4 linked regions of the Tamandua tetradactyla genome follow. The main gene of each other region encodes a partner of the protein of the gene in region 3 in a complex. Links are inferred from orthologs where the notes say so. Each region holds a gene or a part of one and is shown on either strand. Other genes may lie near its edges. The genes, in order: KRT7, ZNF831, OGT and RBL2.

Evidence for each region.
Region 1: the proteins of OGT (region 3) and KRT7 are in contact, whole or in part, in a crystal structure (PDB 4XIF), measured with the Homo sapiens proteins. The link is inferred for Tamandua tetradactyla from reciprocal best matches to the Homo sapiens genes OGT and KRT7. Residues at the interface, in NP_858058.1 of Homo sapiens: His506, His508, His509, Asn567, His568, Pro569, Tyr642, Thr643, Lys644, Gln849, Phe878, Val905, Ala906, Pro907; in NP_005547.3 of Homo sapiens: Val9, Phe10, Thr11, Ser12, Arg13, Ser14, Ala15.
Region 2: the proteins of OGT (region 3) and ZNF831 are in contact, whole or in part, in a crystal structure (PDB 8FUF), measured with the Homo sapiens proteins. The link is inferred for Tamandua tetradactyla from reciprocal best matches to the Homo sapiens genes OGT and ZNF831. Residues at the interface, in NP_858058.1 of Homo sapiens: Phe723, Ile734, Met779, Ile787, Ile790, Asn791, Arg792, Gly793, Leu808, Ala809, Thr831, Arg832, Ser833, Gln834, Tyr835, Gly836, Leu837, Pro838, Glu839, Arg877; in NP_001371283.1 of Homo sapiens: Phe937, Ser938, Pro939, Lys940, Tyr941, Leu942, Leu943, Arg944, Leu945, Pro946.
Region 4: the proteins of OGT (region 3) and RBL2 are in contact, whole or in part, in a crystal structure (PDB 4XI9), measured with the Homo sapiens proteins. The link is inferred for Tamandua tetradactyla from reciprocal best matches to the Homo sapiens genes OGT and RBL2. Residues at the interface, in NP_858058.1 of Homo sapiens: His506, His508, His509, Asn567, His568, Pro569, Tyr642, Thr643, Lys644, Gln849, Phe878, Val905, Ala906; in NP_001310537.1 of Homo sapiens: Thr417, Pro418, Val419, Ser420, Thr421, Ala422.

What each region holds. Positions count from the first base shown.
Region 1 is NC_135333.1:113,582,454-113,589,857, reverse strand, and holds the start of KRT7 (keratin, type II cytoskeletal 7), read right to left. Parts: upstream 3,008-7,404; 5' UTR 2,947-3,007; coding exon 2,623-2,946; intron 1,111-2,622; coding exon 899-1,110; intron 1-898.
Region 2 is NC_135327.1:26,110,766-26,118,714, reverse strand, and holds the start of ZNF831 (zinc finger protein 831), read left to right. Parts: upstream 1-4,941; 5' UTR 4,942-5,633; intron 5,634-7,949.
Region 3 is NC_135353.1:99,921,926-99,929,218, forward strand, and holds the start of OGT (UDP-N-acetylglucosamine--peptide N-acetylglucosaminyltransferase 110 kDa subunit), read right to left. Parts: upstream 3,011-7,293; 5' UTR 2,786-3,010; coding exon 2,749-2,785; intron 1-2,748. UniProt on the Homo sapiens protein: Catalyzes the transfer of a single N-acetylglucosamine from UDP-GlcNAc to a serine or threonine residue in cytoplasmic and nuclear proteins resulting in their modification with a beta-linked N-acetylglucosamine (O-GlcNAc).
Region 4 is NC_135342.1:47,206,917-47,213,862, reverse strand, and holds the start of RBL2 (retinoblastoma-like protein 2), read right to left. Parts: upstream 3,010-6,946; 5' UTR 2,869-3,009; coding exon 2,626-2,868; intron 1-2,625. UniProt on the Homo sapiens protein: Key regulator of entry into cell division. Directly involved in heterochromatin formation by maintaining overall chromatin structure and, in particular, that of constitutive heterochromatin by stabilizing histone methylation.

The sequences.
Region 1 (7,404 bases), on a different chromosome or scaffold from region 3:
GCCCTAGGGAATTGGGGGGGAGGGTCACACCCTGTCATAGGCCTTGTTTGCTCTCCTGCAGTCTGAGCCTGTGTACCTGCTCCGGCTTAGTCATGTACCCCCAGGCAGAGCACAGAACTTTCTCTTCTTGCTGCCTCCAGAGCCCACTAGGCAGGTATGGCAGGGTGGGGCCCAGCCCAAGCCTCAGGCTTTGGTTTCTATACAATGAGAAAAGAGACCTCAGGGGCACTTCCAAGGCCCGTCCTTAGAACCCCACACTTTCTGGCCCCTTTACTCCCTGCCCTACCTCATGGCCTCCTTTCTGGTTCTTGTCCTGACCAGATACACTTCTCATTTCCTACAACTTCTCCCATGCTCACAATGATCACCCTCCCTCTTTGCTTATTTCCTTCCCAAACCTGCCCCACTTCTCCTCCTGGGTCTCCAGAGCCCAAAATTCAAGGCCCAGCTCTCCCTCTGATTTGCCATGTGGCCTCAGTCAAGTCCCTGAGCCTCTCTGTTCCCTAGTCCCTCACCCGAGCAATATGGAGCTGTTCTAGAATAATCTGTGAGGGTCATGCTGGTTCTGAAGCACACCTGTCCTAGGACACCTTCTCCCTGTCCCTCTCTCAGAGCCTTACGTGAGACACCCAAAGGGAACGCAGGACTGGGCTGAGATATTTCACTGGGACTAAGTCAGGAGAAAAGATCAGAATGGCTGGGAAACAGCTCCCAGAGACAAAGAGGTGGGAGACAAGAGGCCAAGGACAATGTGACAACCTTCCTTTCAGGGAGGCATTGTCCTGAGCCCCCATACCCTCTGACCCCTGACCCAGGAGGGACTGGCAGAGGGGTCATCTGATGAGGGGCACGCTGCCCAGGGACAGGGATCCCCGCAGGTCGCACTGGGGGCCTTTACTTATTCTTGAAGTTGTCCACCACATCCTGCATAGTCCGCAGCTCCGCCTCCAAGCGGCCCCCGTCCGCCTGCAGGGTGTCCAGCTGCCGCCGCAGGCCAGAGATGTGAGCCTCAAAGATACTCGGGAGGTGGCTGCTCTTAGCCAACTTCTGCTCCTGCAGCAGCGCCCACTTGGTCTCCAGCAGCTTGTTCTGCTGCTCCAGGAACCGCACCTAGAAAGGAGATAAAGGAGAAGACTCACAAGGCGCCTCAACGGTATCCCCTACAGCAGAGATGGAGGTGGCCTCTAGACACCCAGGAGGGCCCGGGTTCCCACTGGCTGTTCCCCAGACCTTGGCTCCCAGCTCTCTCCCTTCTCCTTCAGGCAGATCATTCGGAATAACCCTCTCCTCCAGGATTTTCTGTCTTAGGGGTCCTAGAGTATGAGCAAAGGACCAGGTCTGCCTTACTTACTGATATATCCCTGGTGCTTGTTTCTCAAAAAAAAAGTGCTTAGCGTCTCCTCCCTCCTTTGTCCCCTCACTGCATTACAAGTGACCTTCTCTATCTCCTCAGCAGGGCTGCCCCGCTCATATCCCTATGTCCTGGGGCTGATGGGGCCTCATGTCCACCTTCTTCTGTGTCCCTCTCTCCTCCCCTTTCCTCCAACAAGTTCTCAAGACAGGGCTCTACCATCAATCCAATGTAAAATGGGCACTTACTACGTGGCCAACCATTTGCCCAACCCTGGGGCCCAAAAAGGCCCTTCCAGAACCCCAGTGTGACTGAGGGTGGGAGGCAAGAGAAACCAGGAATTCGGGGCAGAGAACCTGAGGGCTGCAGATGGTAAAACAGTGCAGCTCACCAGCAGGAAAGGTGGGGCACCCACCCACGGGGGTCAGGGCACCCTGGGAAGGTTGGAGACCTGGAGGATAGGTGAGGTCAGGAGAAGAGGGAAAGGCAGGAGAAGGAAAGCCTAGGCTAAGCCACTTGAAGGGGTCCTGGCAGGAGGGGCACAACGGGGCCAGCTTTAAGTGCCTGGGTCCAGCCCCACTTTGCCCCCAGTCCTCCCACACCCATCAGTCACATCTGTCTACCAGCGGGACCAGTGTGGGGCAGGTGCAAACAGCCAGGAAAAGCACCTCCCAAATGGCCCTTCCCCAGGGTCTCTCAGTGTCCCCTTCCTGTCCCCCATTGGGCCATCTCCAAGAGCAGGTTTAATCTCACCAGCTACCACCAAGATGAGGCTCAAGGACAAGACATGCCGGAGAGGTGTGACCTGGAGCCTCCCTTCTCCAGCCCTTTATTTCCAGCATCTGCCTCAGTCTCGGCAGCATCGGAGGGATGTCAGGGACTCATCGGCTGAGAAGGGCGTGTCTCCCCATCCCTGACTCCACACAGCCCTGCTCTCAGGGAAAATGACCTGCAGCTGGCCCTGTGCTCTGGAGCTTCCAGCCTGATACTGGTGACAAAAAATGGCCCCAAGGACCCACACAGATTCACAGCCAGCCAGCCAGCACCCAGGCACATCTTCTGGGAAGAAATGGAGGGGGGACTGGGGCAGCTTACTGGAGGAGAGCGAGTTGGAGACAGAAGTGGACACAGCGACAGAGTGGGTGGAGCAGCCCCATACTGGCAAAAAGGGAATGGCACCAGGGGTCCCAGTTCCTAGCCTGTACTGGCAAGGTTAGGGCAGCAGAGGTGGCCTGGGGTGTGGATCCAGGCAGGGTCTGTGCCGGGCTCACCTTGTCGATGAAGGAAGCGAACTTGTTGTTGAGGGCCTTGATCTGCTCGCGCTCCTCCTGGCGCAGCTGCTGGATGGAAGGGTCGATGTCCACCCGCAGCGGGGCCAGCAGGCTCTGATTGATCGTGACCTCGCGGATGCCGGCGCCCACCGGGCCCCCATAGGCGGAGTGCAGAGCCCCACGCGGCCGCGAGACGCCCAGGCCCAAGAGGCTGCTGCTGCTGAAGCCCACGGGGCGGCCCGGGCTCAGGCGCACCTGCGCGCCGCGCCCGGGTAAGGAGGCGGACCGCGAGCTGAAGACCTGGGAGCTGAACTGGATGGACATGGTGGCTGGATCGCAGTGAATCTAACTGAGGACGAGCGCGAACTCTCTGACCTTCCGAGACACAGCCCCTTTTATCCGCTGGGCACCGAGGGATCGGCTTACACAGGTAGGGGCGGGGCTGGCCGCGGGCCACCTTTCTCTGCCGGCCTGGCCGCTGCTGGGACCGAGCTTCCGCCCTCCGCGCCACCCACCCCACCCCGGTCAGGCTCTCAGTTCTAGCAGGAACCGTTCCGAGCCGAGCCGGGTCCCGGGCGTGCAATGGCATAAACCCCCCAGCCCCCCGGATTTAGGCAGACACTCTTAAGAACAATGAGAGACAGCAATCAGAGTCCTTCGAAGACGGGCTCATTCAAGGAAGGCTTCCCCGAGGAGGCTTGGGCGGGAGAGACCAAGTGGTGAGAGAATGGGGAAGGGTAAACACAAAAGTTTCAGGGCCTGGAGTCAGAGCCCAGGCTCCCCAGGCTACTGAAAGCCAGAAAGTCAGTGTCCAGAGATGCCCCTCCCCACACCCCCACAAGTCCAGCTCAGTTCTTGAGTAATGTGACCTCAGGGTGGCCGGCCAACCTAGCTGGTTCCCCTGGTCACATCCCCCTCAGCTCACTTCTCCGTAGACTCTAGGCTGATGGAGCACGCACCCACTTCCCGTCCACGATGGGAATGCTTACCCTGGGCCTATGCCCCCTGCAACCCCCAGGTCACATCCCTGCCCACTTATCTGCCCCTATAGAAAAAGGGAACACCTGTGTGTATATGTGACACTTGGAGGATGTGTGTACACTTCTGTGTGTACTCACCTTTGGCCTGCAGGCCACTGGGCTTCCCTTGTGCTACACTCCTAGGTATACGTGTGCATGTGTCTGTGAGCTTGCTTACTTGAGCGGGAGTCTGTGTGAGCATGTGTATGTGATGGGGGTGTCTGCAGACACACAACTGCACACATATGCATCTCTGTGTGCATATGACTGTATTTGCACTCAAACACTCCCTCCCAGCTCTGCCACCCAGAGTCGCTCATCTGAGGGACCTCCCCCACCTGAAGCCACCACCACCAAATAATTCCCAAGTTTCAATCCCAGCCCAAAAGGGGGCAAACATTGTGCTGAAACAGTTAACGCTGAGTGCTGGCCTTACTTCCCAGTAGCTTCTGAGCCACGCATGCCACACCCTCTATACTGCCCTGCCCCTATTCTTCCCAGACCCAGATTGAGGGGCGCCCAGAGGAAACTTTGGAAAAGACACCTGCCAGGCCTGTCACCTTAACCCACCCTTAGCCCCACCCGATGCGCTGGCCAGTGGTCACATCCGACCAAGCCCTTGAGGGAGTCCTAGGAGGAGGAGGGTAGGGAATGGAATGTCCTTCCTGTTTTGTATTTCAGTTAGACAAGAAGGACTTCCAGTGAGTGGACTGTGCGGCAGCTCCTGTTTGGTGATCTCTGAAAGCCCATGCGCCCCCATTCCTTCTCTCCCTCTGCCCCCCTCTATTGATTTTGGGACAGCTTGGCCCAGAGGCAGAGGAACATCCGCAGAGACCTTGAGTGGCATCTTCTGCAGGTGTGAGTGCTTGTGTGTGTGATGTGATCTCGAATTCTCAATTGTACCGTGAAGACCATACAGATTTCTGGCCCTGCGATGTATTTGCAGCCACGGGGATCCCAACCCCCTCCTCCTGACCACCAAGAAAGAAAGGGAAACCAGTTTTTAAATTCACACACACATACCCACACACACATTCCAACTTCTTTAGCCCTCAGGGCTCCTCCTCCACTCCCGTCCCCATCCCATCTGCATATCAGCCCACATGATTTGTGCGCCCAATTCTGCCACCTGCCCCTCTCCCCACTTCAGCCCTCCCCTGGAATCTGCACTCTGGAAGTTGCTCCCCACCCATCCAGAAATGCCCCACCCAAACCCCGCCCCCGTCCTCTTCTCCCCTAGAACCTCCCAGGAGAGATCTTTGCCAGGGAACTCTTGGTGACCCACCTTGAAAGCCTGGACAAGTCACTCTACCTGCCTTGGACACAGTTTCTTCCCCAACAATGAAAACCCTTGGCTCCATATGTCTGTGGACCCTTCCACTTACCTAACACCTGCAAGGGGGCAGAGTTTGTAGAGGAAGCTGGGTGAGAGAACACTGCAAAGGAAAAGGGATCTCTGGACTTCTTGGGTCCAGGCTCCAGCCTCCCCTCAAGTAGCAGATCCCCATTCCAGGCCTGCCCTCTGTCTGCTCCTGGCCTCTCTATCCCCTCCAGGAAACATTCCTGGCAGCTTCAGCCCTCGCCAGTTTCTCTTGTCTCTGTGTTCACAGGCCAACACTAGGAGCCCGCTTAGTACCAGGTGCCACGCATAAACACCCTCTGGAAAGCTTTGCTAGAAACCATCAGCACCCAGAGGCCAGAGATCGAGTTCCTGTCCCACAGGAGCTCACTGTCCTGTGCGTCACCCAGTGTGGTCTCCCATCGCCAGCCCATGCCCCTGTGGGCCTCACAGAAACCTCCTTATGAGACTCTGGACAGAATCGTGAGATGATTTAATCCTATAAAGCCTCTTCCCAAGCAGTCCTACCACAGAGGCATATTCCATCTCTGCGGCATCCTGTACACCCCCATCAAGCACGCACACTCCCTCTCCCTGCCCCCCCCCCCACTGTGCCCTCTGGAACCCAGCTATGAACAAACAAGCTACCCCAGTTCCTCAGCCCTTCTCTGCTTCCTGGAGACCTGCTCAGACACCAGGCCCACAGCCCTCCAAGGTGAGACTTGCCCTGCCTCCCCTAGGGAGGTGGGGAAGACATTCTTTTTTGCTCTCTGCTGCACTTTCAGAACCATTCTTTGTTGTCCATCCCATAAAAGTATGTCCTCTGATTCCTAAAAATATATATATATATAAGACTGATTTTTTTTTCATCATCTTGGAATGTGAAAACTTGTGTGCTCGGTTTGAATCTGTTATGTACCCCAGGAAAGACCATGTTCTTTTAGTCCACTCTTGTGGGGGCAGACCTATTGTGCGTGGGACCTTTTGCTTAGGCTATTTCAATTGAGATGTGACCCAGCCCATTTAAGAGGGGTCTCAGTCCTTTACTGTAGTCCTTTGTGAACACTACGAATGAGTAAAAGCCCAGAGATCTTAGAGAGACATGCCTGGGCAATACCAGGAAAGGACCCACAGGAGCTGAGAGAGAAAGCCACTGAACCCAGAGCTGACCCTGGGAGAAAAGGACCAGCAGATACTGCCATGTACCTTCCCATGTGACAGCGGATGATAGCGGCCTTTCCTCAGAGAAGGTATCCGTTTGTTGATGCCTTAATATGTACATTTTCACAGCCTTAGAATTGTAAATTAATGAATTCCGTTATTAAAAGCCAACCCACTTCTGGTATATTGCTTTCTGGCAGCTTTAGCAAACCAAAACAGATCTTGGTACCAGAGAAATGGAGTACTGCAATTTGCAAATTCCAAACATGCTGGAACAGCTTTATAAATCCATAAGGGGAAGTTTCTGGAAGAATTGTGAGGAGCTTGATCAAAAAGGCCTAGATTGCTTTCAAGAGACTGTTGGTAGAAATACTGACGTTAAAGATACTTACAATGAGGCCTTAGACAGAAATAATGGGTGTGTTGTTGCAAACTGGAAGAAAGGCAACCCTTGCTTCAAAGTGGCAGAGAACTCGGAAAAATTGAGTCCTGATGTCAGATGGAAGGTAGAATTTGAAAGTGATGAGCTGGAGATTTCCAAATTTAAATATGGAAAATACAGCCTGGCTTCTCCTTCCAGTTTATAGTAAAATGCAAGAGGAAAGGAATAAGCTGAGAACTGAACTCTCGGATACAAAGAAACAGTAAAATGATAGTTTAGAAAACTCTGAGCTTTTGGGAAATGAGTCCCCAGAGAATATTGCTCCATGTGAGGAGTTAACCAAACATGAAAATAGTCAGCCATTTCAGGACAAGCCAGGACATGTTCTTTTAATCCAATCTTGTGGGGCCAGACCGATTGTTGGGTGGGAACTTTTGATTAGGTTGTTTGCATGGAGATGTGACCCCACCCATTCAAGGTGGGTCTTCATCCACTTACTGGAACCCTTTAAGAGAGAGGCATTTTGGAGAAAGTTCAGACAGACATGCCCAGGGAGATGCTAAGCTAGGACCCACAGAACCTGAAGGACCCAGAACTTATAGACAGGTTAGCCTGAGAGAAGCTAAAAGATGAAATCCAGAGTTTGCCCCAGAGAAACTAAGAGAGGACCTACAGACACTTAGAGAAATGTCCCTGAGATGCTAAGAGAAGACCTGCAGGACACAGAAAGGAAGCCACTGGAAGCAGAAGCTGAAGGCAATAAACTGGGATCAAGGATCAGCAGATGCCAGCCACATGCCTTGCCAGCTGACAGAGGAACCCCAGATGCCAGCAGCCTTTCTTCAGAGTCCAGGTGTCATCTTGTTAATACCTTAAATTCA
Region 2 (7,949 bases), on a different chromosome or scaffold from region 3:
AAGTGGCCCTAAGGGTGTGCAGACAGATAATTGCCTGGGGTGCTTGTCCAGTGACATTCCCGGGGGTGGCGGGAGGTAGCACTTTTCAGTATGAGCTGAGAATAGTAGCCATTGGCTCGGAGTCATACACCCATGGAGGGACCCCTATTCTGGGGAGCTCACCAGGCCAAGGTCCTGATGACAAACCCCTTTTGACTACGGAGCCAGCATCCAGGGGTCAGAACGGGGACCCAAACCTAAAGAGAGAATGGGCTTCAGTGAAAGGCAGGGCACTGTCCCCGACAGCCTTTCCCCAGCAGCCTGCATGATGGCACCTGGCATTGAAGCGAGACCCGGGTTTGGAGCCTTTGGCCCCGCCAGGCAGGTCCCACGTAGTCTTCTCTCCGAGCAAGGCCTGGCTTCAGCTCGGTAGATTGAGGGATTTGATTCAGTTAGTCCTGCCTCAGGTGTGGACAAGGGCAGGGGCGTATGTGGCCAGGGCTGTTTGAGGGCGTGGCAGAGGCCTGAGAAATGGGGCTCCACCAGTACACATGACATGGGCTGGGCCACTCAGGGGCAGGATGGAGCAGCGGGACAGGAGAAGGCTGCAAGCCATCCCTCCCATCCGTTCTGAAGAGAAGAGCTGATCCCATGGCTTGACCTGTCTTACATGACCTTGGCTTTTTATGAATTGTGTTCCCACAAAAGACATATTCCCCCAACCCCCAGGACCTCAGAATGAGACCTTATTTGGAAATAGAGTCTTTGATATGTGCCGAATTAAAATGTGGCCAAAGCGGAGTAGGACTGGTGTTTTAGTTTGCTAAAAGCTGCTGGAATGCAATATACCAGAAATGGAATGGCTTTTATAAAGGGGATTTATTAAGTTACACATTTACAATTCTAAGACCAAATTATGGCATTCGGAGAAAGATTCCTTGACTTAAGAAAGCCTGATGTCTGTCTCGTGAGAAGGCATGTGGCCGGCGTCTGCTGGTCCTTGTTCCTGGTTCCATTGCTTCCAGTTTCTGATGCCAGTGGTTTCCTCTCTAGGTGTCTGTGGCCCTTCACTTAGCTCTGCGGGGACCCAACTCTGGGTTCTGTCATGCTTATCATCTCATGGGAAGGCCCATGGTGACATCTGCTGGGCTCTACCTCTCTAAATATCCATGTCTAGGATCTCTGTCTCTCTCCCTCTCTCTCTCCCTCTCCCTCTCCCTCTCCCTCTCCCCCTCTCCCCCTCTCCCCCTCTCCTCCTTTCCCCCCTCCCCCCCCACTCCTAACATCTCCATATATCTGCATCTGTCAGCTCTGAACCAACTGTGTTTCCTCCAAAATGTTCCCTCTTTTAAAGGACTCCAGAAGATGAATGAAGACCCACCTTGAATGGGCAGTCACATCTCCATCTAATCAAAAGGCCACGCCCACAATTGAATGGACCAGTCTTCATGGAAACAATCCAAAGTTTCCACCCTACCATACTGAATCAAGACTAAAGAATGTGGCTTTTCTGGGGTATGCAACAGTTTCAGCGGGCATAGCTGGCCTTTAATCTGTCATGACTGGTATCCTCGCAGAAGGGGAGGTCTGGATGCAGACAGGGGAGAAGGTCCTGTCATGGGCAGAGTTGGAAGCCAAAGATTGCTGGCACCCACCGGAAGCCACAGGAAACTAGGAAGAAGCCAGGGAAGATTCTCCCCTAAGGATTTCAGACAATGAGACAGTGCATGTCTTTGTTTGAAGCCACCGAGTTTGTGGTACTTTGTTAAGATGCATGGTGTGTACAAGAGTATTTTAAAAAAAAAATCACCTGTCTACTCACATTCACTTATTTAACCCACGCTTTTGGGATGGTGACTCTGCCAGGCTCTGTTCTAGGCACTGTCTGGTCCTTTGAAGAGGACCACGGCGGGTGTGGGAGGGAAAAGGCAGGCAGCAGGAAGTGGTGAGAGGGACGGGCCTCCGGAGGAGCCCAGAGAGGCTGCCCCTAGATCAACTCCTGCTTTGACTCATCCAGCCCCTGCACCCTGCTCCCCAGGGCCCCACTTTCCTGCTCAGACCCAACCACGCGCTCAGCCCCGGGAGGATCAGGTGGCCCTGCTCTTAGTTTCAGAAAGGGGTTGTAGTCGCTCGTGCGACTGTGCATTTGGGGACTGGGGAGGGTCCTAGGACCGAAACCCAAAGGCAGCGATCATTCTGTTCTCTCTCTGGCCGTAGCTTCTTGGGGCAGCACTGACCTTGAGTGAGCTGCCCTCCCCACCTGTGTCTCCCTTGTCGCCTCTGGTTTTGCTGGCTAATGTTGTCGTCTCTGGCTTTGCTGGTTTTAATTGCAATGCTCGGGGTTGCTTTGTTGTAAAGCAGACTGCGCTTTGCCAAAGGAGCCTTGCTCTTGGCAAGTGAGTGATTTATCTTTTTTTGTTGTTCCCTTAAGGAGAAAAAAAAAAGAGTGGTCAAAGAAGACAAGTTAAGAATTCTTTGGAAATTATTTTTCTTTTTCTTTGGTGACTATTGCCACGGGCTTAGCGCGTGGGTCACCTGTTGCGTGCTCTCGAGAGTTGTGTGATAAGATGGTGCTTAGAAAAATTAGAAGGGAGGAAATTTGCTTATCTATTATATTGAGACATAATTCACATACCATAGAATTTATCCTTTTCAAGTGTACAAGTCTGTGATTTTTAGTATATTCATAAGGTTGTGCAGCCATCACCACTAACTTTAGAACGTTCTCATTACTCCTAAGAGTGAGTCCCCATTAGTAGTCACACCCCATCTTTCCCCCTCCCTGGCCCCTGGCAACCACTGATCTACTTCCTGTCACTCGACATTTGCCTTTTCTGGACATTTCTTATAAATGGAATCATATAATATGTGGTCTTTCACTTAGCATCTTGCTTTTCAGGTTTATCCATGTTGGAGCATGCATCAGAACTTAATTCTTTTGAATTGTCAACTCCGTTGTATGGATATACCATATTTTATTTATCCATTCATCTGTTGAAATATTTGATTTTAATCCATGCTAAAGTTTTTAAGTAGCTCTGGTGCAGGAAGCTTTTCGTATTAATTTATCTTAATAAAGTGCATGAAGGCAGCAATTTTGGACAAAGGAGGCAGAGTGGAGGCTTTTGGTTTCAGGAAGTGGCAAGCCGCTCTTTCCTGAAGATGTCCTTGGTTAAGTGGGTGAACTGCTGGCCCCGGCGCCCTGCGAGGAGTGGTGCTTGGGGCCTCCCTGTTCAGCCTTCTCCCCACCTCTCCTCCACCATAGCGCTGTACCCCTAAACTTTCCTCCTTAGAAGCTTTTTGGGGTTTTCCCCCAATCCGGGAGGAAGTCTGGTCTCTTCAGCCCCTCTTTCCAGATACCCCCTCTCCCTCCCCAGCTTCCCTGTGGCAGAACACTCCCAGGTCCCTGACACTGCTGGGTTCTTTCAGACCTCCCAGCTTGGCTCGAATTATTTCTTCTGTTCCTCAGACTCTTAGGTAACTTTCAATGCCCAGTGTTGGCATTTCCACTAGGGCTTCCCCAAACCCTCTTCCTCTGGATTCCTATATTGCTTTGTTTATATGCCTGCTATGGCCTGGGGAGATGTTTAAATATTTAACTATAGGTAAGGGGCAGACACCCCTAAAACAGAGTGGGTGCTGGTCTCAGAGCTGGAGCAGGCCCCAGTGTTGGCCACTTCCTCTCTGATTGCTGGGTCATAGGGAGGTCTGCGGTCCCAGAGAGAAGAGCAGGGATCCACGCCAATCTGAGCCACTGGGTTCTTCTAAGGTCCAGCGCAGTTGGGGGCGCACTCTGCCCAGTGAAACGACCCCAAAACCCGACTTAGCTGAAGGCAGGCCACGACCAGCTGGATATTATTGATGGCAGAGTGGGGCACAGACACATCCTCCTCCCAGTGAAAATGAACCCATTTGAGAACACTGGAAAATGGCCTGCAATAGTGAATGCACTCCCGCTCTCTGCACAGCCAGTTTTGCATCTAACCTGTCCTGACCCACAAATTAGTTTCTCTCTGCTAGCTAATATTCTGCACTAGAGAGTTTCCCCCACTCAGCCACCACTACTTAAAATAATTGTATTTTTCAATGAGCTGAAGAGTAATCACCTTACATCTCACCCAGATTGGCTCCTTCCAGAGTCACAGGGAGCAGAGCTGGGACTAGGTGAGGACAGTGCACTTGCCTTGGGTGCAAAACTAAGGGGGCACCCAAAACCGTAGTAATCAAGATAATATGTATTTTTATAAAAAAAAAATTTGGGGGGTAGTTTGGTGGTAAGCACACACCAAAACCACAAAATTTCCCATTTGAACCATTTTTCACTGGGCAGTTCACCAGGATTAATTCTCCTTTTGGTGCTACCATCAGCAGCAGCCATTACCAAAACTTTTTAGTCCTTCAAACAAAGACACTGTTCCCATTAAGCAATAACTCTCCATTCTCCACCTCCCGAGCCCCTGGTGACCCTCTAACCTATTTTCTGTCTCTGTGAATTTGCCTATTCTAGGTATTTGATATAAGTGGAATCTTACAGCATTTGTCCTTATGTGTCTGGCTTATTTCACTCATCATAATGATTTTAAGGTTCATCCCTGCTATATCAGAGCTCCATTTCTTTTCATGGCTGAATGATATTCCATGGTATGGATAGACCGTATTTTGTTTATTCATCTTTCGAGGGACCCTTCCCGTGAGTGTTGGGGTACAAGTATCTGTTTTTTTAATTCTTTGGGGTATATGCCTAGGAGTGGTATTGTCAGGTCATGTGGTAATTCTATGTTTAGCCTCCTCAGGGATGCAATCAAGGTGATATTTTGATGTAATGCTTTAAAAATGAAAATTAATGCAAATAAGCCCATGATGAACAAAACATCAAAAATTTAAATAAAGATAGAATCTCAGAGGACCTTGGCTGGGAGACCCCTACCACCATCAAATGCAATGGACGGACACGTGGACCCTCGGGCACTCCCACGGTTACACGTGGCAACTCTGCAAGTGCTCACTCCAACCACGGAGCCAGGCAAATAGCCACCTGCTCTAATTTTTAATAGCCTGCACAGAACGGCGCATCTCTAAGGCACTGTGTGCACGCCTACGCCTCTGGGCAGCTGCCTCTGTTTATGGGTTGTTAGATCAATAATCACAATTACTGAGCAAGTCTCTGAGCTGTGGCTCTTATTCTTTCCTCTGCTTCTGTTTCTTCCTGTTTTCTGAAGGTTGCTACTGTGCATTAAGTCATGTATAGAAAATAATTTACTTCCTATTTCTGAGCCAGCCCAAGTTTCATCTCTGCTTGAGTCTCCTTCTTGAGGCTGAGAGACATGGTGCTTTTCTCAGTTAAACACAGAGTTGACTCAGAGGCCGAGCAATGGGAGGCCTTCCTCTTTCCTTTTCTGGGTGCATATGCAACATCTGTCCCCTGAGACGCTGCCTGCAGAGTAGGGCCTGGTGGAAGACGCTGAGATGCCTTCTCAGCCCAGGAGCAGGCTCCCCACGGGGCGTGCAAGGAGGAGCCCTGGGGCTCTGTTCTCCTCTGGGTGGCAAGCTCTGTTGTCCCTTTTGGGTGGCTGGATGTCTTCTCAGGCTCACACCAGGTCATTTGCGTTTGAATGGGAACATCTTTGGCTGAAAAGACACCACTCTTCATAAAGGTAGGTAACATGCTCCATGATGGCAGTATATCTCAGTTGCTAGTTAAAAAAAGAAACCAGCTCTTTTATCCCATGGTCTTAATGATATATTTGCCTTCAGACATGCAGTGTGAAAGTAAAAGCTCTGTAAAGCTTGGCATCACCCATTTCAATAGTTCTCTTGTGTGCTTAACACCGCTGTTGTTTTTGTCAAAATATTTACTGCAATTCATAATGACTGTCAGAATCCAGGTCCACACTCCATGTTCTCCTAAACATACAAACAAAACCCATCAGGAAATTTGTTGCTTCATAAACAGGTTTTTAAGATGATAGACCTAATTAAACCGAAGGTGTGACTTGGTTAGAAACATCGATTATTTAGCCCCCAAATTTTGAAAACAAAATATACAGTACAATCTACTATATCAAGAAAGTCTTTGATAGAGATGCTGTTTATGGCAGTTTGCACTGATCGGCTACTCGAAGGTAGCATTTTTCAGTGAGATTTATAGGGGCCAGGGGACCATGTATTTTTCCCCAGAGTTGGCTTCCCAGTATCCAAAATAGCTGCGAGCTGAAGGCTATCGCAGATGAGTGGCAGAGGCCATGTTCTGAGAGGTAATGTGCTTCTCCTTTCCTGTAGCAAATCTTTCTGTAAGAATGAAACAAGAGATGTTATCTGCCCCGCGGCAGTAAGAGACGGGGCGCAACTTAGAAAAATGATAGCATCAGCTCACTGGGAAAAGCAGAGCGAACAGCAGGACCGGCTTAAAATAACGGGCCTTTCACCCTGTCGCTGCAGCTGACAGCGGGTCTCTCTGCTAACAAGGCTGATACTGATGAGGGCACATGTCTCCTCCGCTGCAACCTCATGGCCTGGGTGGGTGAAGATACCCAGAAGCCAGGGAATGAAGATCTGGGAAGTCAGGACAGGGACGGTCAGGGGACGCATCACGGACCTGGACCACCCCAAAGGGCGCAGGTGGCAGTGGCCTGGTTGCCGAGGGGAAACACGGTCACCGTGCAGGGCGGAGGGGCACCTGCAGGGGAGACCTCTGGGGGGCTGGCTGTGCCGAGTCAGTGCCTCGCCCAGAGTGGGCACGCAGCCCTACAGCAGCCACGCTCACATTCGGGGACGGGCGTTCCCCGTCTCAGTCCTCTCCCTCTTGACTTATCTCCTTTTCTATTTTGATGGGTTCATCTTTTCGTCTTGAGATCATGATAGATGCATGTGCTGCTATAAGGAATGATGCAGTGATCTGTGGCACGGTTGCCACCAAGGCCTTGAAGATCACCCTCAGAATATTTTGGCACTGATAGCACTCTTTTCCATGAGGAGCCTTCCTGCCACAGCCCCCCAGCCTCTCCCCTGACTCCTGCCCTCCACCTCCATCCCTCCTGCAGACCATTAAATAAATGGAATCGGGATAGGCTTTTTTCACTCAGCAGAATTCTCTGGAGAGTCATCCAAGTTGTCGCAGATATCGGTAGTTGGCTCCTTTTTATTGCTGCATAGTATTCCACTGAGTGGAATGGGACCACAGTTGGTTTGAGCATTCATTTGTCGAAGGACGTCTGGGCTGAGTGTCGTTGAGGCTGTCACAAGTAGAGCTGCTGTGAACATCCTTGTACAGGCTTTTGTGCAAACATGATTTTGGGATAGATGCCTATGAGTGCAACTGCTGGGTCAAATGGTACATGTGTGTTTAGTTTTGTTTTTGTTTTTTTTAACTGCCAAATTGTTTTCCAGAATGACTGTACTGCTTTACCTTACCACAGACAATGTCTGAGAGAAAGACACAGCTTCTCTGCATCCTCACCAGCATTTGGTGTTATCATTGCTTTTTATTTTAGCCATTTGATAGGTGTGTAGTGGTACTGCATTGGGGTTTTAATTTGTGTTTCTCTGATGGCTAATGATATTTAAAAATATTTTCATGTGCTTATTTCCTATCTGTTGAACCTCTTTGATGAGATGTCTCTTATTTTCTTTTATGCATTTTCTGATTGGATTTTTTGGGGTTTTTTTTACTGTTAAAATTTCATAATTCTTTATATATTCTAGATATGAGTTCTTTGTTGGATTTATGGCTTCCAAATATTTACTCCAAGCCTGTAGTTAGCATTTTCATCCTCTTATCAGGGCTTTCATAAAGCAAACACTTTTAATTTTTATGAGGTCCAGTTAATTCATTTTTTGCATTTATGGCTCATGCTTTTATTGTCAAGTCTAAGAGCTTTGCACCTAGCTCTATCTTGGAAAGTTTCTCCTATCTCTTCCTGAAGTTTTATAGTTTTTCCATTTACATCTAAGCCTGTTTTATGTCTTGAATT
Region 3 (7,293 bases):
GGTGCAGAATTGGCATTTTCAGAATTCATCCATTAATACTTTCTTTCCCAAACTAGATAGGAATATTTACTTTCAAACTATATTACATTTTTTGAACAAGAGTACAAAAATATTTTTTGTACTCTTAAATTATAAACTCATTTATAACATTATAAATGTTAAATGTAGGTAACATTTAAAGAGTAACTAAACATTATTCCTTATACCTTAGTTAACATATAGAAACAAAGTATAAAACGTGATTTTGAAAGGTGATAAAGATTTAGTAATGTCAGAACAACCATCTGAGAAACAATACTTTCCATCATGTTTTAGGTTGGATTTGGTAGGCGTAAAGGAGTGGATAACTGGTAACCATCTAACCTAGGTGGGGACTCAGATATTTATTTTGTTTTTACTCTTTATATTGATGTGTTTGTTTAGTTCATAATATATATATTTTTAAGCAAGGGCAACACTAGAAAGAAGCAAAAGGAAAAAACTCAAAGTCAGGTGCTATTTTTAAAATAGCTGATAAACAAGATAAATCCATCTGTCAAGAGCTAAAATATTTTAAAGGGGTCATAAACATTTTAAATAAAGACCCAGAGTTACATTACTCCTCTACCAACCCAAACTCACAAAGATACTAAGTTAGCGAAATCCCACCCACACTGGTTTAACACTAGCATTTTCCAAAGTGCTGTGGCACTGACTAAAGAATCAAGGTATTGTAAACAATTCTATATAAACCAGGCAGTTACCTACAACTATAATAATTTTAAAAAAATGGGAAAATACTAAAATATATAACATTTGTTAAAGCTCAACAGAATAAACAATAAATAAAAGCCTTTGCTGTATGCAGGTGACTTAATTTAGGTACAAAGATAAGAATATAGTTAAGGCCTAGAGAGAGAAAAACAAACAAGGCCTAAGTCTTCATTGTAAATACTTATTTAAACAGTGATGATATATTATCGGAAATTTGACCATAGCACTCCCACAAACATGCATAGATTGTTGGATTGGGAAACTAAGGAAATTACCTAAACTCCACCAAGGACACAGAGACAAACTCAAATTGGAGTCTCACTTCTCGATCATTAAAGTGTGTTCTGGATACTAAGGAAAGCAAAGTAAATTTCCTGACAGAATGTACCGCTGACCATGTATACGTAAAAGCAGAGAGACCTGTATCGAAATGGGGAGACTTTCTCTTCAAGAGCACAGAAAATTACATTTTAGAGAAGTCTCTAGACCTTCCTAGCTCCTTAATTTAATGCATTACTTTATCACTTTTCCAAGTGGCTCCTCTGCTAACTTTAACACTTGAAATGACGACTACCTCAAATAAAACACACAAAAAAAGGCAAGCAAGTGCAGAATCTTTTATCTTTAAAAATCACTGTGGGGAGGAGGGGTAGAACAGTGACTATTTATTAATCTCACTACCTATAATTATGGATAACAGGGAATTGAAGATCCATTTATCATTTACCGTCCAATGTCCAAAAATAATAAAAACCCTCTACACATATCAACCGAGAAATATCAAAAAATAACCTCGTGGGAAATATCAGGACCGCGGCCCAATCCTCTCCTCCTTCCTCCTCCCCAAATAGCCCCTATGGGGAAAGGCAGCCGAAGCGAAACTCCTACAATTTGGATGTTTTGTAAATTTTGAACACAAAATGCTCTCGACTCGATTATCTAAACGGGCAACCGCCTGGCACTTGTGCAGCTACACTCCAGTGGCTTTACAAACTCTTCAAGCAGGGATGAAAACTTAAAATATATATTAAAAAAAAGAGAGAGAGAGATCCACCCTGTGAATAAGGAGATGCGAGGCTAAAGAATGGGGATGGAAGACCCAGAAGGCGGCGGCGGAGGAATACAAGGAGAAAGTCACAACAAAGCGAGATTCCCGAACGCAGTGCGGTCAACACCAAAGCAATAGCACCGGGGTGGTTTCTGCCCCAAGGATAGAAACTGGACCGCAGGGCTGGCAACGTCGCGAAGGGAAGGGTGTGGTTCCCTGCGGGAGGGGAGCGGAGGGGGCACTGGATGGCAAGGCAGGCTGTGGGGGTGGGGGGGCAGCGTGCGGATTTGGGCGATTGCAGAGAACGCCTGGAAATTTCCAATCCAGACCGGGCCCCCACTCGACCGAAAGCAGACTAGAAAGGCGCAGCTGCCTCAGCGGGGTGCTGCTTACTCAAGGTCCCGTTTTCTCGAGGTTCCTTGTAAGCACATCGGCGAGCTTTCGCTCGTCCTTGGGTGCTGCAAAATGGGGATGCGTTTACATCGGAATGGCACCCCTGCCGTAGACTGACAACCCAAATCGGGTTAAGGGCTTGAAAGGGTTGGAAAGGGCCGTGGAGAGGGAAGAGCAGCGAGCGGTGAGCTGGAATGAGGGCAGAAAATGGTTGGGAAGGACAGTGAAAGGGCAGGGATTCCAACGCAGTCCGTTCCGAGACATCCTTACAGCGCACTGGTGGGAGAAGTGTCCCGAGAGTGTAGAAGGCTAGAACATTTATGGGATTGAAAAGGGGAACAAGGAAGCAGAAAACAAGCGAGAAAGGAAGGAGGAAGAAATGCTTAAGGAGGAGAAGACGGAGGAAAAACCCATCAGATGCCGGTAGACCACGACAAGCTAACGCAATACCACTGATGCAACGAGGGTGGCTAGAAGGGAGGGAAGGAGGAGAGGGGGGAAACAGCACGAGACCCCGAAGGGGCGTCTGCCAAGGTAGAACGGGACACTGGTACCTGTGCTGTCGGCCACGTTGCCCACGGAAGACGCCATCTGGAGCTTCTTGGGGGAGGGCGAGGAGGGGTAAGTGGGTCCCGCTGCCGCCGCTACTAGCAAGAATGTTTCTGGAGGTAGTGGTAAGAGGGCAACAACAGTACCAGTACTTTGGAAGGCTTAAACAGCGGCAGCAGTTACAGACTTCGAACCTTAGGAACTATAGTTAGCTATCTACCTCTCACAGTCTTGAAATGGCGGCTACTGCTCCTCGGCCGAAACAACACGGGCCGGAACTACTTTCTGTTACAATCAAGTACCAGTGCGGAGGTAGCGCGGTAACCAGCGCTACAGACAAAATGACTATAATCAAAGTCGCTTGCTATTGTGTAACCTTCCGCGCAGGGCCCATTGCGACAAACACGATTGCGTCGACAGCGCATGCGAGCAACCCTGTCAACCTGACTCGGGCTGGCTAGGGCACCGTCTAGGGCAGGAGCGTCCAAGTTTTGTTTTGTTCGTTTCGTTTGGTTTGGTTTCGTTTTGTTTTTAAATAGTGAAGCAGAAGGTTTAAAAAGCGCATCCATTTTTGCCAAAGTGAAAAGTGCCAAGTGTAACCTGTTACCTAGCCAATAATGTAGATTTTAATAGAAATGTCAAAGGAGGCTTAAAAAGTTTACATCAGCTTTATTCATACGAAAATGAATACTTACAAGGCTGAGAATTACTAGTCGTGCATCGATTCCAAACAAATAAAATTGTGATTGAATTTTTGAAGATTGAACTGTTCGTCAAAACGTTGGGGGAAGCTTTTCCAATTTGAACACGTCATAATTCTGACTCCAGCAATTGATTCAAACGTTTTGATGAAAAAAGACTGATACATTCGCATGGCCAAATGAACCCAAACATCTCAGATTTTGGCTATATAGCCCGAAATTTCCAAATAGTTTTGATATTCAGAATAGTTCTGCCTACAGCAATAGGGTAGATAATTAACTCAGGGACAACCTTACAGTTCGCACCCCAAAGGCAGCCATAAAATGTTAAATATGATTCCTACTTAAATATGATTCCTACCGTTCAAAATCTGACTCTCTTCTGAGTTGTGACTTCATTTCCACAAAATAGGTCTGCAAATCCTCACAATCTGTGATTGCATTGCGCTTGATGCAATTCAGAAATGATAAATGAATTCACTTGCCATTTATCTGCACCACACATGTAATTTGAGTCTGAATTACCTCCACTTCCATAAGCAAATGAGCTCTTACAAATCCTCCTGAGTCTCAAGTCCACTGATTAGATATTTTGTAACATTAGTATTCATTTATACCTCATAGTTTGTTCTAGAAAGGATTTAAGGTAGCTTTTCCTATCAGCAAGAAACTATTATAAGCCACTGGAGGTAACAAGTTGAGTCTCTGTGCCATTTTGTTTAGTCCTTGATCTAAGAAAACAGGTCAGTGAATTTCTTCAAAAAGTTTCTACTACGTTAAAAAAGAAAGAAAGTCCTTGAGCAACGCTTCAATTTCTTCCAGACAGTCCACAAACTGTTAATTATGGATATGAGCACAGAGAATAATTCTCAGCCCTGTAAGTATCATAATGTTGGTAATTTCTTCCATCCCGTAATCAAGAGTAACATCACGCAGTAAAAAAGACAAAGTTCACTGCACAAACTCTCCTAGAAATTGGGCTTTTGTTGATGGTGCTTCCCCTCCCACTACCAGTGCCCCATATGTGGTGAATAAACTCAGCTTTTCAACTTTTAAACCAGACTTCTCAAATTCCACTGGCAGATGTTTAGGCCTTACTGATTAGTGGGTGCTAGCCAATTAAGCCAAACTCTTATTGTTGTTAAATGCCAGGTCATGCTCCCAATCATTTGGCCCATCCATACTTGTGGTTTAAAGTTCCCTATCCTGAGAGAAGAGTCCGAAGATGTTATGATACGTTTTGCTACCATGCAAAACTGGAAGGTGGGGCTCACAGTGGCTCACTAGAGAAAATCCCCTGATGAAAACATCTTTCTTAGGGCTCCAGAAATCAGTTAAAGGATTGTAGTAACATGCAGTAACAGGGTAAGCATGGAATCAAGAAAAGGGCCACTTAAAAAGCGGTTGGATATCCTCTTTCCCTGGCTGGAACCTCCCCCTACCCCTCACTGGCTAAGCAGCGGAGTTGGTGGGCCATTCGCTCAGTGTGAATCCGAGTCCCAGTTCTTGAGAGAGAGGGCGGCCCGCCCCGGTGCACATGCTGGGAGCATGTCTGTTTTGTTTCAGTCTATCTGGTGGTGGTCTGAGCGTCTCAGTGCTCCAGAACTTGCGCTGTGTGTAGAAGGCAGCTCACAGAGCTCTCCCACAGATTGCTGTGGGAAAACAGTCAAATCCTGCTGCCTGAGGCAAGGGATCACGGGCTGTAGGACAGACAATGTAGTCCCGGACCCTGAGGAAACTGTTTCATAGGGGAGAGGGGACATTCCTAACCCAGTAAACAAGGGAATTCCTAGGGCCATACGTGCATGCCCCAGACAAGACACAGGTGCAGAAAGAGTCTGTAAGGCCCCTATGCTTTAGCCTTCAGCTATTCCCATACATCCCATTGTATAGATAAACCCCAAAGGAAGGCACTTGCACAGGTCAATCTGCAAAGTCTGGGAAAGGTGTTTTCTTTTTTTCCTTCTTCCCCCTCCCCCTGCTTTTTTTTTTTTGTTAGGTCCTGCCATTCAAGGAAAACTCAGTCATAACACTAGTTGGATAAAATTTGAAGGAGCAGATGCCTAGAGTTTAAATTTCAGAGATAACACATTAAAATATCAAATGTCCAAGTTTCAGAAAAGATTACAAAACATAAAAGAAACAGCAAGCAATGGCCCAGGTAAAGAAGATTAAAGCATTAGATACCATCAGTGAGGAGGACCAGACCTGGGACACACCAGACAAAAACTTTTTAAAAATGGTCCCAAATATTCTCAAAGACCTAAAGGCAAACATGAACAAGGAACTAAAGGAAATCAGGAAAGCAATAGGGGAACACAAAAAATATCAATATAGAGATGGAAATTATGAAAACGCATCAATCCAGAGCAGAAGACCATAATAACAGAAGTTTAAAAATTTCTAGAAGGGTTCAACAGATTGGAGCTGGCAGAAGAAATAATCAGGGAATTTAATGATAAGACAATGGAAATCATCCAGTCTGAGGAGCAGAAGGAAGAAAGAATGAAGAAAAACAAACAGAGCCTGAGGAACCTGTGGGGCACCATCAGGCATACTAACTATGCATTGTGGAAATCCCAGAGGGAGAAAAGAGAAAGGGACAATGAGAATATTTCAGGAAGTAATAGCTGCAAACTTCAAATTTAACAAAAGACATAAATATACACATCCAAAAAGCTCAACAAATTCTAAACATGATAAACCCCTGCTGAGACATACTATAATCAAACTGTTGAATGCCAACGATAAAAAGAGTATTTTGAAAGCCACAAAAGAGAAGCAACAAGTCATGGTACAAGGGAGCCTCAATAAGATTAAGTGCAAATTTCTCATTGGAAACCATGGAGGCAAGAAGGCAGTGGGGTGACATGTTTAAAGTGCTGAAAGCAAAAAATATTGCCAACCAAGAATTTTGTATCTGGCAAAGCTGTCTTTCAGAAATAAGAGAGATGTGCTGGTTTGAAAGGATGTATGTACCCTAGAAAAGCCATGTTTTAATCAAAATCCCATTTCGTAGATGCAGAAAAATCCCTGTTCAATACTGTTTGTAATTATATCATCTCCCTGGAGATGTAAACTAATCAAGAGTGGTTGTTAAACTGGATTAGGGGAGATGTGTCTCCACCCATTTGAGTGGGTCTTGATTGGTTTACTGGAGTCCTATAAAAGAGGAAGCATTTTGGAGAATAAGAGAGTCAGAGAGAGCAGAGCAGAATGACATAGCCACGAGAAGCAGAGAGCCCACAAGCCAGCGGCCTTTGGAGATGAAGAAGGAAAATGCCTCCCAGGGAGCTTCATGACACAGGAAGCCCAGAGAGAAAGCTAGCAGATAATGCCTTGCTCACCATGTGCCCTTCCAGCCGAGAGAGAAACTGTGACTGTGTTCTCCATGAGCTTCATCGGCCTTCTTGAACCAAGGTGTCTTTCTCTGGATGTCTTTGATTGGACATTTCTGTAGACTTGCTTTAATTGGGACATTACCTCGGCCTTAGAACAGTAAACTAACAACTTATAAAATTCCTCTTTTTAGAAGCCATTCTGTTTCTGGTATATTGCATTCTGGCAGCTAGCAAACTAGAACAGGAGGGATTAACTCATTCCCAGACAAACAGAAGCTGAGGGAATTCATCACCACCAGACAGGCCCTACAAAAGATGCTAAAAGAGTTCTATAGGTTGAAAGGAAAAGATAATGGACCATAGATTGAAGCCACAGGAAGAAATAAAGATCTCCAGTGAGGGTAATAACATGAGTAAATATAAATTCTAGTACTATTTTATTTTTGGTTTGTAACTTCGCTTTTTACTTCCTACAGGATCTGAAAGGCAGATGCATAAAAGGTAATGA
Region 4 (6,946 bases), on a different chromosome or scaffold from region 3:
GATGGATAGACAGAATGATATAACAAGTATGGCAAAAAAAAGTTTAAACTGGTGGATCTGGGTATTGGGGGAGAAGGATGAGGTATGGTGGAGTTCTTTGTATGCGGTTTGTATTATTTTATTATTGTACAAGTTTAAAATATTTCAAAACAAAAAGTCAAAACAAAATTTAATTTACAACTGAACTTCTCTCTCTTACATCCACATATCTTATTAATATAAAATTAAGTCACAGCATTATCCTGTGTTTTAATGAAAGGTTTGCAGTAGATGATTTTTAATGGTCTATTTTGGTTCTAGGGAATTTACAACCATATCATTCCCAAAAAGAAGAAACAAAATTAGTCTTACATATTATAATTTTATAGTGCTTAAAGAACAAAGTAGACTGAGGACCTATTTCTTAATTAATGTAGGTCTACTAGGCTACAGACAGGTTAAAAGCAGGCTCCGTACCTGGTTTCCCTTTGGTCCTAAAAAATGTTTGTTGAAAAGCCCCTGATGCCCACAACTCCCCTCCTCCACCAAAAAAAGGCGTCACTCTCAAAATTAACAACTCATGGTCATACACCTATGGGGTCAAGTAGATCTGGGTTTGAATTCCGGTTCTGCCATATATTTACAACACCTTGGGAAAACTTCTTAGGTTCAGTTTTCTTACCTAAGGATAATGAGAATTAAATGAATTAATCATAAAGCTCAGAAAATACAAGCAATCAAAAAGTACAACTCTATAACCAGTATTCTGTATTAAATATCATGTGAGCTTTATTTTCCTTTGTACACTCCATGAGAATGACATTCCATGTTATCTCACATCATATCTAAATATAATGTCCACCATAGTAGGAATTTTTACCAGTTTTCTTCATTGCTTTATCCTCAGTACCTAAAACAGTGTACACAAAACAAAGAAATATTTGATAAATGGATGGAGTTTCATGCATTAACTGGGTAAACTGAGCTAAGAAACTGAAACTGGAGTCTTTTCAAAAACTCAAGTAATAGAATGTGTTTTCAAAAATAATTTACCTCCTATCTGCTATGCACTTACATAATGCTGGCCTTCATAAAACTTAACCTTTATATATCGGAATAGTTCTACAGTATGGTGATAATGCTGGCTGTACCTAATTTGCAGGATTATCCTGAGGGTAAAATAAGAGCTTCTTGGAGGTCCTTAGGCCCTGATCAAATTAAAAAAAAAAAAAAAAGGAGTCCTCTTTGCCAGACCAAAGGACAGAAAGCACTGAGAGATAAAGAAAAGCATGGTCTTTCCAGCCATATCATTGAGTACATGAAAGAACTCTGTAAGATCTAAAGCACTGTCCATATGAGTGCCTACTATGTACCAGGAACACACATTACCTTATTTAACCTTCAGAAAAGCTCTGTGAGGTAGGTAAAAATAACTACCGTTTATTTATCACAAATTTGAATTTTGTAGCAGTTTTGTCTCAAGTCATCTAGGTCTGTCAAATCCCCAAGTATATTACTCTATCTTTCGGTAGATATAACAAAGGGGAAGAGGGGGTAGTAGATGAAATAAAATTCTATTAATGCAATAAAATTTTTTAAAAAAATAACCTTTGTCAGCAATTACACTTTAGGCAAAAACACAACCGAGTTAAATAATAACGTAGATCTTCACACCCTGGGCCTATTTGCCCTACTCTTTCCACAAACCGCATATGAAACAACTTAAGAAAAACAAATGGCCTCATGTGTAAACGCCAGACACACGGGCAGTGAAACAGCTGATAAACCACCCGGACTTCCGTACCACTTTCCATTCGGCCCAAAAAGAGGAGACCGCCTGCTCAGTTGACGATTACTGGCTAAATGACCATTTTTCCCATCTGTGCGACCCATACGAAGAAAGAGACATGACATGCCTGGGTCATGACATGTCCTGTGCAATGTCTGAGGTGACCAAAAAAGATCCTCAGAGCAGTCGCAGCTCTGACTCACTGGTGATTAGTGGGGGCGTGCTTCTATATCCCGGTAGGCAAAAAGTTCATTTAACTTGACCTAAGGAAGATTAGTCTTACTACCGTACATAAACACGGCACGAAATTTAACAATACATTAATTCAAACGATTCGATGCCTCAATGAAAGCAATTTGGTACAACAGGAAAAGAAGTGGAGGAGAAGCCTAGAGACCTAAGGCGCTAAAATCGGATCAAACGCTGAGCGAACCTGGGCAAATCCCCTTCCTTCCCTTCTCAGTACAGTGTTGACAACCACACATGTTCATTCTGCCAATCGGGTACTCAGGGCTGCAAAACGACCACACAGGCCCATTTCTGTAATGGTGACTGCAGTACAACCTCAGCCTCGCCGTTTTACTTAAGGACAAGACGTGTTTCCCATTCTGAGCCAAGAGGAAAGAGCAGCAAGACCAGATTCACCCTCAGAGCCGCTAAGAGACTTTTAAAAGCCTAATTTCCAAGACTACAGTGGGCAGAAAGGATTCCCATCCCGCTCCAGGCTGGGCGCCCGGGGCCTCTCCTCGGGTCCCTGCGGGTCGCCCCGTCCGGGGTGAGAAGGCGGGGCCCCATCTCCGGAGCGGGACACAACCACTAGGCCCCGAGAGCCCCCTCGCCTCCTCGCACAGACGAACCTCCAGCGTGTAGCTCTCGCTCATGTTCCGGTAGCTGTCCCAGGCCTCCGCCCGCGCCGCCTCGTCCATGTTCAGGCGGCTGCACAGCTCGTCGAACCGCCGCTGGGTCTGAGTGGCCGGCGATCCGGCCGGCTGCGCGACTTCCCCCGCCTCACCGTCGTCGTCCTCCTCCTCAGCCTCTGAGGCCGCGGCCGCCGGCGGGGGAGGCGGGGGCGGCGGCGACTCGTCGCCTCCAGACGGCATATCGCACCCCAGGGCGGCTGGTCCTCAGGATAGTCGAGGGCCAGGACCCAGAGCCATTCAAACCGTGAAGCGCCCGCCCGTCAGTCGCTCTCTCCACGACTGCGCTGCTACCAACGGCGCGGGACCTCTTATGGGCTCCAGTAGTTGTGAGCACGGCCTGCTGGGAAATGTAGTCCAGTCCGGAGGCTTATGTGGGCCAAAAATTACGTAAAAAACTTGTGTCGTCACCCCTGGGCAAAAGGGTTTCTCCGCGTTTTAAGTGCCTCTCCACGGCGAGACCATCTAGCAGAGAGAAAAAGAAAATGTCCAAGAAACGTTGACAATGAAGGTTTAATGTTCAAGCTGTCCCTAGAAATCATAACTCCTCGTAACCTGGGTTTCTTTATCTAAAAAATTAAGATAACAGCAAGGGCTTATTTGCCTAAATTCAAATCTCCACTCCGCTCCTAATTTCTAGTTTTATCCTATGTTTTAATTTTATGTGAGCCTTTAAAGTAGCTATTGGATTTTTTTTAATGCAGAAATTATTTTTTTTCCATAGGGTGACTTTACATTCCGTCTAACTCACATATGTGTACTACTCTCAGCCACCCAGTTGGTTTAACTTTATATAAAGCTGTGTGTGTGTGTGTGTGTGTGTGCGTATGTGTGTGTGTGTGTGTGTGTATTAAATAAGAATTGCTGTCTTGCTATTTTTGCTTTGCGCAGTGTGGTATGTAAACTGAGGTAGAGAACTAAACTGCTTGGGACAAAAAAAAAGGAGTTATGGAAGATATAGGGGGAGGAGAGAGGATAGAGAGGGGAGACTTGGCTAGATAACAAGACACCTTAGGGACAGTTTGGAGACAATGAAACCCTCTCTGTGAAACCTGAGGTAAAATTCACATTAATTAGTGACCCTTTTAGGACTGAATTTGCTTTGTCAATGCTCAGTTTCAAGGTGACTCTGGGACAAGAATAGAAGCCCTACACAAACAGTTTACACGCATTTGAAAGAAGTTTGTAAAAGTTCTCTTTCCTTATATTTAGGATGGAGATACTAAATTTTAAAATAATGATCTTACTTATTTTGTATACTATTATCACACTTTACCAGGGGTAAAACTTGAATTGTTTATTGAAGTAAAATGAACTTCACTATTTTTAGTAGAATTTAAACTTTATTCCCATTACATATGTATTTTATTAGAATATGATTTATTTTAATATGGTTATATTAATATTTCTTTTTAGTCTCCAGTGTCTTGGAGCAGTTAGAAGCAAAACTTAAAATTGTGAAACTGTAACCTATACCAAACTTTGAAATCTGTTCTATAACTAATTGTTAAAATGTTCTCTGAACATACTAAATTACTTTCCAGAAACCTACAACCTGTAATTGGAATCCTAGGCCAGATAAGTCCTGAAACTCAGAGGGGCCAGCCTCTCCAAGAAAATCAACTAGTTCCATCCCCTGATCCCATACTATTGACACCACTTTCCAACATGAAAAAGTTAGAATGGGCATAACCCAAATACCCCTAAAGATTGGGAAAAGGATCAAAAGAGGAGGAGTGTGCTGGTTTGAAAATATTATGTTCCCCCAGAAAAGCCATGTTTTAATCTTGATTCAGTCTTGTTGGGGCAGCTGTTTCATTTAATCCGGTATGTTGGAAACTTTTGATTAGAATATCTCTACAGAGATGTGTCACGCCCAATTGTGGACATGACCTTTTGATTAAATGGAGATGTGACCCCACTCATTCCAGGTGAGTCTTAATTAGTGTACTGGAATCCTTTAAAAGAGGAAACGTAAGAGTCAGAAATGACAGAGCAGACGGAAACTTCAGAGCAGAGTTGACAGGCAGAAAACATGGATATGGAAATGCCATGAGATGTTAAGCAAGTCAGAACCTAAAGAGAGCCAAGGGAAGTCAAGAGATGAGAGCCAGCCCTGGAGAAGCAAAGTGAGGAGCCCCCACAGGAACAGAGGTTGAAAACGACAAAGCACAGGAGCTAGGGACCAGCAGACGCCAGCCATGTGACTTCCCAGCTGACAGAGCTGTTCCAAACAGTATCAGCCTTTCTTGAGTGAAGGTAATCTCTTGTTGGTGCCTTAATTTGGACGCTTTCTCTTCCTTAGAACTGTAGACTTGTAACTTATTAAATTCCCCTTTGGTAAAAGCTGTTCCAGTTCTGGTATATCGCATTCTGGCAGCTAGCAAACTAACGCAAGGAGTTATAATAGAGGATAGGATTTAACAAATGAGTATGACTGTGGAATCATTATATTAATATTTCTTTTAGTCTCCGGTGTCTTGGAGCAGCTAGAAGGAAAAACCTAAAATTGTGGGACAGTAACCCATACCAACCCTGAAATCTATTAAATGACTACTTGTTACAGTATACTTTGAAATTTATTGCTTTTTTGTATATATGTTATATTCCACAATAAAATGTTTAAAAATATTTAACATCAGTATTTTCAAGAGAATTGGTTGCAGATTGTATGTTCAAAACATGGCCACAACAAGAAACCAAAGAGTAAATATCGTATGGTCTCATTTAGAAAATAGTTATAAGAAAACTGGGGCCTAGATTATAAGCTTTTATAGCAGTTAGTCTGGAGTGGTGATTGTTATTTCTGGACATTGAGGGGCTGTTTTATATATGTATAACCTGTTTTTTAGAGATAAGAACAAAGCTGATCAGGTTGTGATTAAGATAATTCAGAATACAGGGGTAAGGAAGAAATTGCCTATATTTTAGAACTTCACCTGCTCTTTGAGACCAAAAGAAGAAAGGTTTATTTTGTCCAGAACCTAAATTTTCAGTAGCACATAATCTAGCTCAGATAACTCATTTAAACAATCCACACACAGGGAGCCCAGAATAAGAATGAGAGTCTTGAATCCTGTATAGCTTAATGTAATGCCAGGATACATCCCAGAGTATATTAAGTAGGTAATCAAAAAGTACTGGCAAAGCCCCTTGAGGAATGGGAGAAAAAAATATGAAGCTATTAAACTTTACCTCCAGGGAAACCCCGGATACTGTGTCAAACATTAGGAACACCCAAATCAATAGGCCAAGCCCTTGATCTTGAGCCTTGCTCTTGTGAAGCTTCTGTATGTAGCAGAGAAGCTTAGCCTACCTATAGGTATGCCTAAGAGCCACGTCTGGAAGACCTCTTTTGTTGCTCAAATGTGGCCTCACTCTCTCTAAGCCCCACTCTGCAAGTGAAAACATTGTCCGCCCCCCGCCCCCCCAATATGGGACATGACATCCAGGAATGAAAGTCTCCCTAGTGGTGTGGGAGATGACTCCCAAGGCTGAGTCTGGCTCTGGCTCTGTGGGATCAACAATGCCATCCTGGCCAAAAGGGGAAAAGAAGTGTAACAAATAAGGTTTCAGCAGCTGAGAGAGTTCAAATTGAGTCAAGAACCTACTCTGGAGGTCACTCTTAGTCATGTTTCAGTTAGACATTGCTACCTAGCATAGCTTGCCAAACTCCAACCAAAACCATTTCTGCCAATATTAAAGAACACCTAGGGTGTTTATAAGACTACAAAAGTTCCATGCGCTAGAGTAACTTCCTAGAAACCTACAACCTCCAGGTGGGTCCCTGGACCAGATAAGTCCTGTAATGCAGAGGGGCCAGCCTCTCCAGAACATCAACTAGTTCCGTCTCTCTATCCCATAATATCAACAGCCCCTTCCGACATGAAAAAGTTAGAATGGGCATAGCCCTAATACCGCTAAAGAGTGGGAGAAAGATCAAAGGTGATGGTGGATTTATACAAAGATGGTCAGGTTTAACAAATGAGTTTGACTGCTGAATCATTATATTGATATTTGTTTTAGAGCAGCTAGAAATAAAACCTAAAATTGTAGAATTGTAACCCATACCAAACTCTCAAATCTATTCTACAACTAATTGTGGTGATGTGCTTTGAAATTTATTGCTTTTTATATATATATATGCTATTTTTCACCAAAAAAAAAAAAGAGAGAGAGAGAAAGAAGATTATAACAGAGAAGACAGGATTTAACAAATGAGTATGACTTCTGAATCATTATATTGATATTTCTTTTGGTC